Oryzias latipes: one gene and its partner. The protein of the gene in region 2 interacts with the protein of the main gene of each other region in a pairwise test. Links are inferred from orthologs where the notes say so. Each region holds a gene or a part of one and is shown on either strand. Other genes may lie near its edges. The genes, in order: nr4a2 and cdkn2d.

What was found.
Region 1: the proteins of cdkn2d (region 2) and nr4a2 interact in binary tests that used the Homo sapiens proteins (3 or more experiments, as listed by UniProt). The two-hybrid records come from large-scale screens. The link is inferred for Oryzias latipes from reciprocal best matches to the Homo sapiens genes CDKN2D and NR4A2.

The regions. Positions count from the first base shown.
Region 1 is NC_019879.2:20,515,848-20,519,318, forward strand, and holds part of nr4a2 (nuclear receptor subfamily 4 group A member 2), read right to left. Parts: intron 3,403-3,471; coding exon 3,200-3,402; intron 3,032-3,199; coding exon 2,853-3,031; intron 2,754-2,852; coding exon 2,497-2,753; 3' UTR 1-2,496. UniProt on the Homo sapiens protein: Transcriptional regulator which is important for the differentiation and maintenance of meso-diencephalic dopaminergic (mdDA) neurons during development.
Region 2 is NC_019859.2:10,441,148-10,445,592, reverse strand, and holds cdkn2d (cyclin-dependent kinase 4 inhibitor D), read left to right. Parts: upstream 1-1,381; 5' UTR 1,382-1,501; coding exon 1,502-1,726; intron 1,727-3,071; coding exon 3,072-3,425; 3' UTR 3,426-4,001; downstream 4,002-4,445. Other genes in the region: ap1m2 (AP-1 complex subunit mu-2), read left to right, coding at 1-86, 248-323, 418-443. UniProt on the Homo sapiens protein: Interacts strongly with CDK4 and CDK6 and inhibits them.

The DNA of each region.
Region 1 (3,471 bases), on a different chromosome or scaffold from region 2:
AAACTTGTGACATTGTACTGCACCCTTTCAACAGATCTGCTAAATGTCAGCAAACTGGTTCTGAATGTAATCCCAATTTGCCTTGGAATTAGCACTTTCTAGTCACGATCTAATCATTTAGACAATTTATTGCCTGCTGCTAATATCTCTCAAAATATGCTGTTCCCTTCATTTTGATCGTGTGGTAAATGTTGATAAATCCCAGACATGCCTCAGAGCTTGGCGTCACTTCTCTCTTATGCCAGTCTAAAGAAAAGGCTTTGTGACAGCGGTCTGCCTCAATTCTGTTTGGGCAATCTCCGCTGACTTTTACCTTTGCGCTTACAACGATAGATGCAGTCGTGACGCGCCTTAAAAAGATGATTGAAGTGTAGGTGTGTTATCAGTAAGCAGAGATTAAAGGGAGCGCATTAAACCGGTGCGCAGGGAGGAGAAGAAAGAAGTGCAGAGCAGGACTTTGCGCAAAGTGGTCGGTAACTCCGCAGGCTTACAATCATCAAACTCGCGTTTTCATCCAAACGCAGGCTGTGGCGCAAGAGGCTGCAGTTTAGGGGAAACCTGATTTGTTTTGCTTATTCTTCTTAAAGAAAACTTTTTGAAGCATCAACTTGTTCACTTAAATTTGTAATTCCACCGACAGTCTGAGAGCTTTGACACCGAATGCAAGCTGCGCAATTAAAATTCACATTTAAGCTGATTGGTTCGCCTCGCATTTGTTTGTGCAAATATTCAGTCTTGATCTCGGAAAGGGGCAACTTTGAAACAAACAAGTTTCTCCTATAAGCAATTCACAGACATGATGCGCAAAATTGTATGGATCGCAACTTATTTGAGTTACTCTCCAACAAAAATCTCTCAAAATAATGTAACCAGGATCATCTTTATTTATAAATAAAATTGTTTTTTAATTGACGTCTGTATAGGCCGTTGCGACTATTTCCTTTACTTTGGTTAAATAGATTAAAAGGGCAAAACACATTTTCAGATAGGAGGAGACTAAAAAAATGTCACTTTGGTGCCGATTTAAACAGTCGGAGAATTGGGAAAGATTACAAAAACGCTTGCAGGTTATTCTCTAAATTACAGTCGTATTAAAAAGTAATTTAGAGTGCAGAAATAGCTGCTAAATGTAGGCGCATTCGGCCAGAAGTGCATGTTTTATGTGCGCGCTTATGAATACATTCATCTCAACGACAAAATGGGGTAAAAAAATTATCTATCTCATTAAAAAGTTTCATTTTTACAACAAAAAATAAAAATGGCTATTTTAAAATTGCATGGAGGGCCATGGCTTCTGTTTTGTAAATAAAAGCGCGTCGAAAACGCATTCCAGTTAAAAAAAAAAGTAATTAGGAAAAGAAGTCTATTAATTTTCAGAGAAAATATTTGGCAAGAGATTGAAAGTTAAACGTTTTATTTGTAAACATTAAATATTTCTTTATCTCTAAAGTTTTTGAATTGGGCACCGAATGCGTTACACAAATGAGACGGTGATGCCAAAGGTGTGGGCCTGAATCATACACTCATGAAGCTCTTCATAAAGATGAAATATTAATTATTTTTGCCACTTCCAAAGCTATTAAATCATAACTAGCTAGACGTTTATAAGACATTAAAACATAGACAACGTGCTCAGCATGAACTTGGATGGGTTGGAATCGTTTAAATTGCACCATGCTTAGTGTAGCTTTTGGCAATAGAAATAATAAATATATAGAAACGTTTATATTCAACAGCAACAATACTTACAGCACATACAAACAAGGAATGTCTGTGACAGTTTTACAAACACCATGGGTCCCTCATTTTCTATACAGATGAAATAATTTTTTTCCACATATGCATCATACAGAAAAAGAGTGCCATAACTACGAATCTGTATCAAATCTAGCAGACTACATAGTGTCCGGTATATATATTATATAGACATCACCTCAGCAAGTGCCTATAAATGAAAAAAGAAAAATCAGAAAGTGGAACATGCGTTGTCTTATCTGGATTTTTGGGATCCTGTCAGAAACACATATAGGCACGAGTCCAAAAAGAAAAGCTTTTCATTATAACAAACTTTATACAGAGATTATAAACCGATGCGCTGGATGCATCCCATTTTCTATCATTATAATATACAGGGTTTGTGTGCGTGTACTTTTATATATACTGTTTATATAAATGGAATATATTACAACTTAGTGATTCAGCAGAGCCGACGTTCAATAAACAAGAAGGGCTTGAAAGAGATTTCTGCTAAAAAAAAAACATCCACCTAATTCGCACAGAATAAAAATAGAACAAAAAGAAAAATGTAAAATAAAAGGCCTGCAGCGATAAAACTCAGTTTCTTCCGTTACTTTTGATGTTGCCTAAATCCTTATAAGTTGTTCTAATAGCTTACGGAGCTTGCAAAAAAGACAAAAAAAAAATTAGAAACTGTAATCTGATAAGTTTGTCTCAGTCTTTTTGGAAGTTCTTTGAAGTTTGGCTAGTGCGTAAAACTCAGAAGGGTAGGGTGTCAAGGAAAAGTTTGTCAATTATTGCTGGTGGGGGGACAAGGTCTTCCAGCTTTAGGTAAAAGATACGCTGCAGACCTTGGGTACAGAGCGTGCGCAGTTCGGGGAGCTTCCCCAGGAGTTTTGATAGGTAGTTGGGACGATTCAAGCCACCGCTATTAAACGTTACTTGATCTTTGAGGCAGTTCACTATCTTGTTTTGAAGATCCTCAACTCTCTTAGGTTCCTTAAGCCCGTGCCGTTCTGAAAATAAAGGGAAAAAAAGAGCAAACAATGATGAGGAATGTTCTACTAGATTTTTTAGCGCATGCAGCTCCTTTACGTGCCGCTGTTTTTACGCACCTGTTACCATCGCTAGAGCTGCGATGCAGGAGAAAGCTGAGATGTCTATATTCAAGCTCTGTAAGTTAGAAGAAAACTCCACGATTGCATCCACCCACTCTCCAAACCCGCGGACGCATTGCAGTCTGTGTAACACCACTCCATTGCAAAAAATAAGTTTCCCTTCCACTGGATTGGACCTGCAATTAAAATTAAAATCCCTTAATTAGACTTGGCAATAAAAATGGATTTAAGAGGCGTCTAATTATTAGGCAGCTAATAAAGCCAAAAGCAATGAAGCTTAAAGGAGGAAATCCTGATTATCCAAAGTTTGGGTGGGGATTTATATCACCCTTTCTTCCTCTCACCTGTATGCCAGCCGCAGGACGAAGAGCTCCAGGAAGGCGGATTCAAAGAGGAGATCTTGATCTTGCTTCGGCAGATCAGAGAAGCCCGGAATCTTCTCTGCCCAGCCCCGGATGATCTCCATGGAGCCCGTCAGGAGATCATAGAATTGCTGAATGTGCTGAGTGTTGTCTCCAGTCATTTGGTAGTCAGGGTTTGCCTGGAACTGGAATTTAATTTAAACAGCGCCTTAATGAGGTCCTTTAAAATATATAATCCGTGAAATTGCAAATGG
Region 2 (4,445 bases):
CCAGTGTTGAAAAGGACGAGCTTGAAGGCAAACCTCCCATTACTGTTAAATTTGAAATCCCATACTTTACAGTGTCAGGAATTCAGGTATGAATGCTTCAAAGTGTTTATTATATCAGTTGCCAATTACTGTATTGTCATTAAGACTTTTAAATAGTTTTTTTTATGTCCATTGACTTGTTTTGTCTTTGCCTTCTAATCTATATGCGATAATAATGTGTCATTTAACTTTATGCATTTTTTTTCAGGTTCGGTATATGAAAATCATTGAAAAAAGTGGCTACCAGGCTTTACCCTGGGTGCGCTATATAACACAAAGTGGAGGTATACTATAATAATTACGTATATTTGATTAAAATTCAAGTATGAAGTAGACACTATCTGTGTTTTAAATTGTGTGCATTTGTTGTTGTTTTAGATTACCAGTTGAGAACAAATGCCTAAGTAAAGCCTGCAAGATGCTTTACTGCATATCTCCAGGACTTCCAGAAGAGCACAATGAATTTTACCTTTTATCTGCACCTGAAGAATTTCTTTAATTTACTTCTTTTTTGTGTGTTTTAACTGTTTTATATTAAATCTCCATGCAATTTGATTTTATTGTCACCTTTTCAGATCTTTTTAAAATTGTTGAAATAAGATTATTCCTCTGAAAACAACTTGTTTTTTGTGCACCTGTTTCTTTGTGAGTTGTTCCTTGAGGACTTTATATGCTGAATTTAGCAGCCGTGGTGTGGTTCACCACCGTGCAATCAGTGCCGGCAAATTCCGCCTAAAACGAAAGACATGAACCCGCCTTTTTTTCCACACTGTTGTGAAGAAATACAACCAAAGCGTGGAAATGTGAATGGACTGTCTTTGAAGAAACAAACGAATACGAATCGCCCGCTTTCTTCGCTTCGCGCTCTGATTGGTCAATCCCCACTGTTACCACAGTGATAACGTAGTAACAGAGTTGTAACCACGCCTCTCTTACCATTTATGGAAGTACAACGCCTATTGGGCCACCTGTGATTGGCCAGCATATCTACTCTCCAATGTTTGTAAATTGTCGGCTAGATCCACTACTGTTTGGATCTCAGCGCGCAAATGTATTTGTCAATGTTTATAAACTCTTCCATTTTGAATTGTATTTAAAAAATAACCGGACTGCGGTGTCGGCGGGCTGAAAATTCGTATCGAGGATTCGGATACTAACGTATTGACGAAGGTAGGATTAAAGAGCTCGGTTTTTACGGTTAGCTTTTAGCTTTTCTGTTAATTTTCATAACTCTCTGTCGATGTGACTTAAGTGTCGGCCAATTTTCTCAATAAAAAAAATATGGATTTGGATATTTTCTGCCGTTTGATTAGCCCAAACAACCAAGTCAAAAACAGTACGCTTACAGTCACGTAACATGGCGTCACCGTAAAAACTACAAGTTACGTTAGCCGGATGTTGTTGTTAGCTAGGTGTAGCCGACAGCAATCTTCCTGGCTTTTTCAGTCTTCCTCGTGCATTTATGTGTTTTAATGGCCCAACTGTGGTTGATTTTCATGGTGTACGGGGCGCGTGTGCTGTTGAACAGGCAAGAACGGAGTTTATAATGGTCCTCAGTCAGATGGACGCTGGCAAAGCGTTGACGGCGGCGGCAGCCAAAGGGAATACCAGCGAAGTGCAGCGGATCCTGGAGGAATGCAGGGTGCATCCTGATACCCGGAATGAGTTCGGCAGGACGGCGCTGCAGGTGAGACCTGTCACGGTAGTAAGACATTAGTCATCTGTAGGCGGTTGGTTTGCTCCTCCACTGTATTTACAGCCCGCTATAAACATAAAACTCTCAACACTTGTTTCTTATAAAATCTTCACATCAAAAAGTGAGCTAAATATTTTTTTAAACCATCGTAATATACAAGGAATTGACTCTGCGCAATAAATAAGTCGCGCATGTTGCCAAATTAGTTCAGTAATGAATAGCCGCTTCCAGGAAGTTGCGCTGTTCCTGTTTTTGATACTTTTCACAGTAAAATGTTCGACGACACTTTCTGTAATTTGCAGACTTGACTGTACCGGAAATCTGATTTAGGCAACGGGGGTATTTTTTTTTTTTTTTACATTTGAGCTGCTTTAATTACGAATAAAAACTGTAAACACAGTAACCACACAACAATTACTATTCCAATATTTAATTAACCCAACATGCAGAGATTTCAAAGTAAAATAGTGGTATTTGGGTGGGAAAAAGGTTAGAAATTGTCCATTAATATTTATTACTAAGTACTGTATTTTATTTAATATATACTATTTATTGGTATACTATGGTAAACTAGTATACTATTAAATATAAATACTATTAATACTAAATCATCAAACAAGAATTATTGTTTTATTATTTCAATCCTTCACTGTGTTATGACTCCGTATTTTTAGAATTTAAATGTATTGTTTAGATGTTTTAATGTATTTGTAAGCAGCCCAGTACTCCCTTGGAATCTTAATGGGAATATCCTGATTAAATAAAGGTCAGAAAATAAAATATATTACTATTATTGCTGATGTCTCTGGAGCATCAGTGCCAGTGGTGGAGATACTAGTTGGTGCAACTTTTTCCCTATTTCCTTCATGGTCGAGTCTGTTTATATACTTTTTTTTAATGTACACTTCTATTATTCGGTAATTTTCCATTTGTGTTTTTTATGAAAAAGAATAAGTTAAAAAAAACGTGACAGAAATATTTTTTTTCTCCCACTTTTTATTTTATTTAATTAGAAGATTGTAAAACATGTTAAGTCAGGCTACTTGACGTGATGATACTGCATTTTTATAGCACACATAAAAAAATAAATGCTTTAACAAACTGTAAGCAGAAAAAATGAAAATGTTCTTTTTCAGGTTTAGTGCAGATCTCAAAGTAAAAGCTGTATTTTATTTAGTGTATTTGTTTTTTATGACAGTTATATTTTTATTTATTTCTATCTCTTATTATGGATGGATTTTTCTTTTCAAGCAAAAGTGAAGGCGTTCTGTAAAGGAAGTTGCTGATTTGTGCATGAGGGCTAATAAATATGCATACAATATTTATTTTTGAACAGGTTATGATGATGGGGAACTCCAAAATAGCAAGCTTGTTGCTGGAGAAAGGAGCAGACGCCAACGTCCAGGACAAACACGGCATAGCGCCTGTCCACGATGCAGCGAGGACAGGGTTCCTGGACACCCTGCAGGTCCTGGTGGAGAATGGAGCTTCGGTGAACATCCCTGACCAGAACGGCGCCCTGCCCATCCACATTGCCATCTGGGAAGGCCACCGCGATGTCGTGCAGTTCCTGGCTCCGCGTTCCAACTTGAAGCACGCCAACCAGAGCGGTCAGACGGCGATAGATGTAGCCCGAGCTTCCTGTGTGCCGGATATGATGGACTCACTTTTTGCTCATATACATAGTTAGAAAAGTTTTCTTCTCACTCGTCGTCATTCTTCATTTTTTTTTGGCTTCAAACCTTGTGACTTGAACTCATTGCTGTGTAAAAGATTATTTTTTTTTGTTATTTGTAGCTCAGCATTAATATGTGACACAAGACATATTGTCTTGGCAGCTTATTTTCAGTGGATGGGTGTCTATATACTGTAGATACCTCTTTTGCACAGTGCAATTTAGGCACCTTATACTTATGCATATATCTGTTTTCCCTTTTGACTGGGAGTGCACATTTGTATAAAGTTTCCGCAGTGTTTCCTAACTATTTCTATTGTGTAAGAATTCATACACGTGTGTTTCTTTTTAAATTACAAAACTTGACATGGTGCACCCTCGTTGCTTTGCCTAGTTGTTAATCTGAATTAGATGTACTTAGACTTTCAATTGACTCTTATTTATTGTTGGACTGAACATTTCCTGTGACGTTGTAAATACAAACATATTGTGATTTGTTTAAATGTTATTTATATAAAAACTTTTACGGAAAAAAGTGAGATTATTCACTTTAATATTTGAGGAAAAACAATAAAAGTGTTGAACTTCAAAGCGAAGTGTTTGAATTTTTCTTTTTTTAACTGATACTTTAAGTGTTCATAGCAACAGGAAAGTAAATGTGAAAAAAGGGGAGATGAAGTTAAAAAAAAAAGAAAATCATGTTGTTGCCTTTATTTTTACTGATTTTGTTTTCTTTTTTTTATAAGGAACCCACCTTTTGTATTTTCTTTCCCCCCCATGGAATTGAAGAAGAGTTTAATCAAATTCTTACATTTCTGAGATAATTTTAAGTATTCTTTAATAATTAAATTGTATAGATAGACATTTACTCCTAGTCCTCCAACACCCTGGATCTAATTTTGGCCTGAAATCTAGAAGAGAGGAGGAGTTAATGGGAATAAACAAACATGGAGTTACTAAGATGTATAGCTTAATAGAAAACGTGTTATTCTTTACTACTTTTTGAGCACAGATCCAGATTTTTCTCACTTTTAA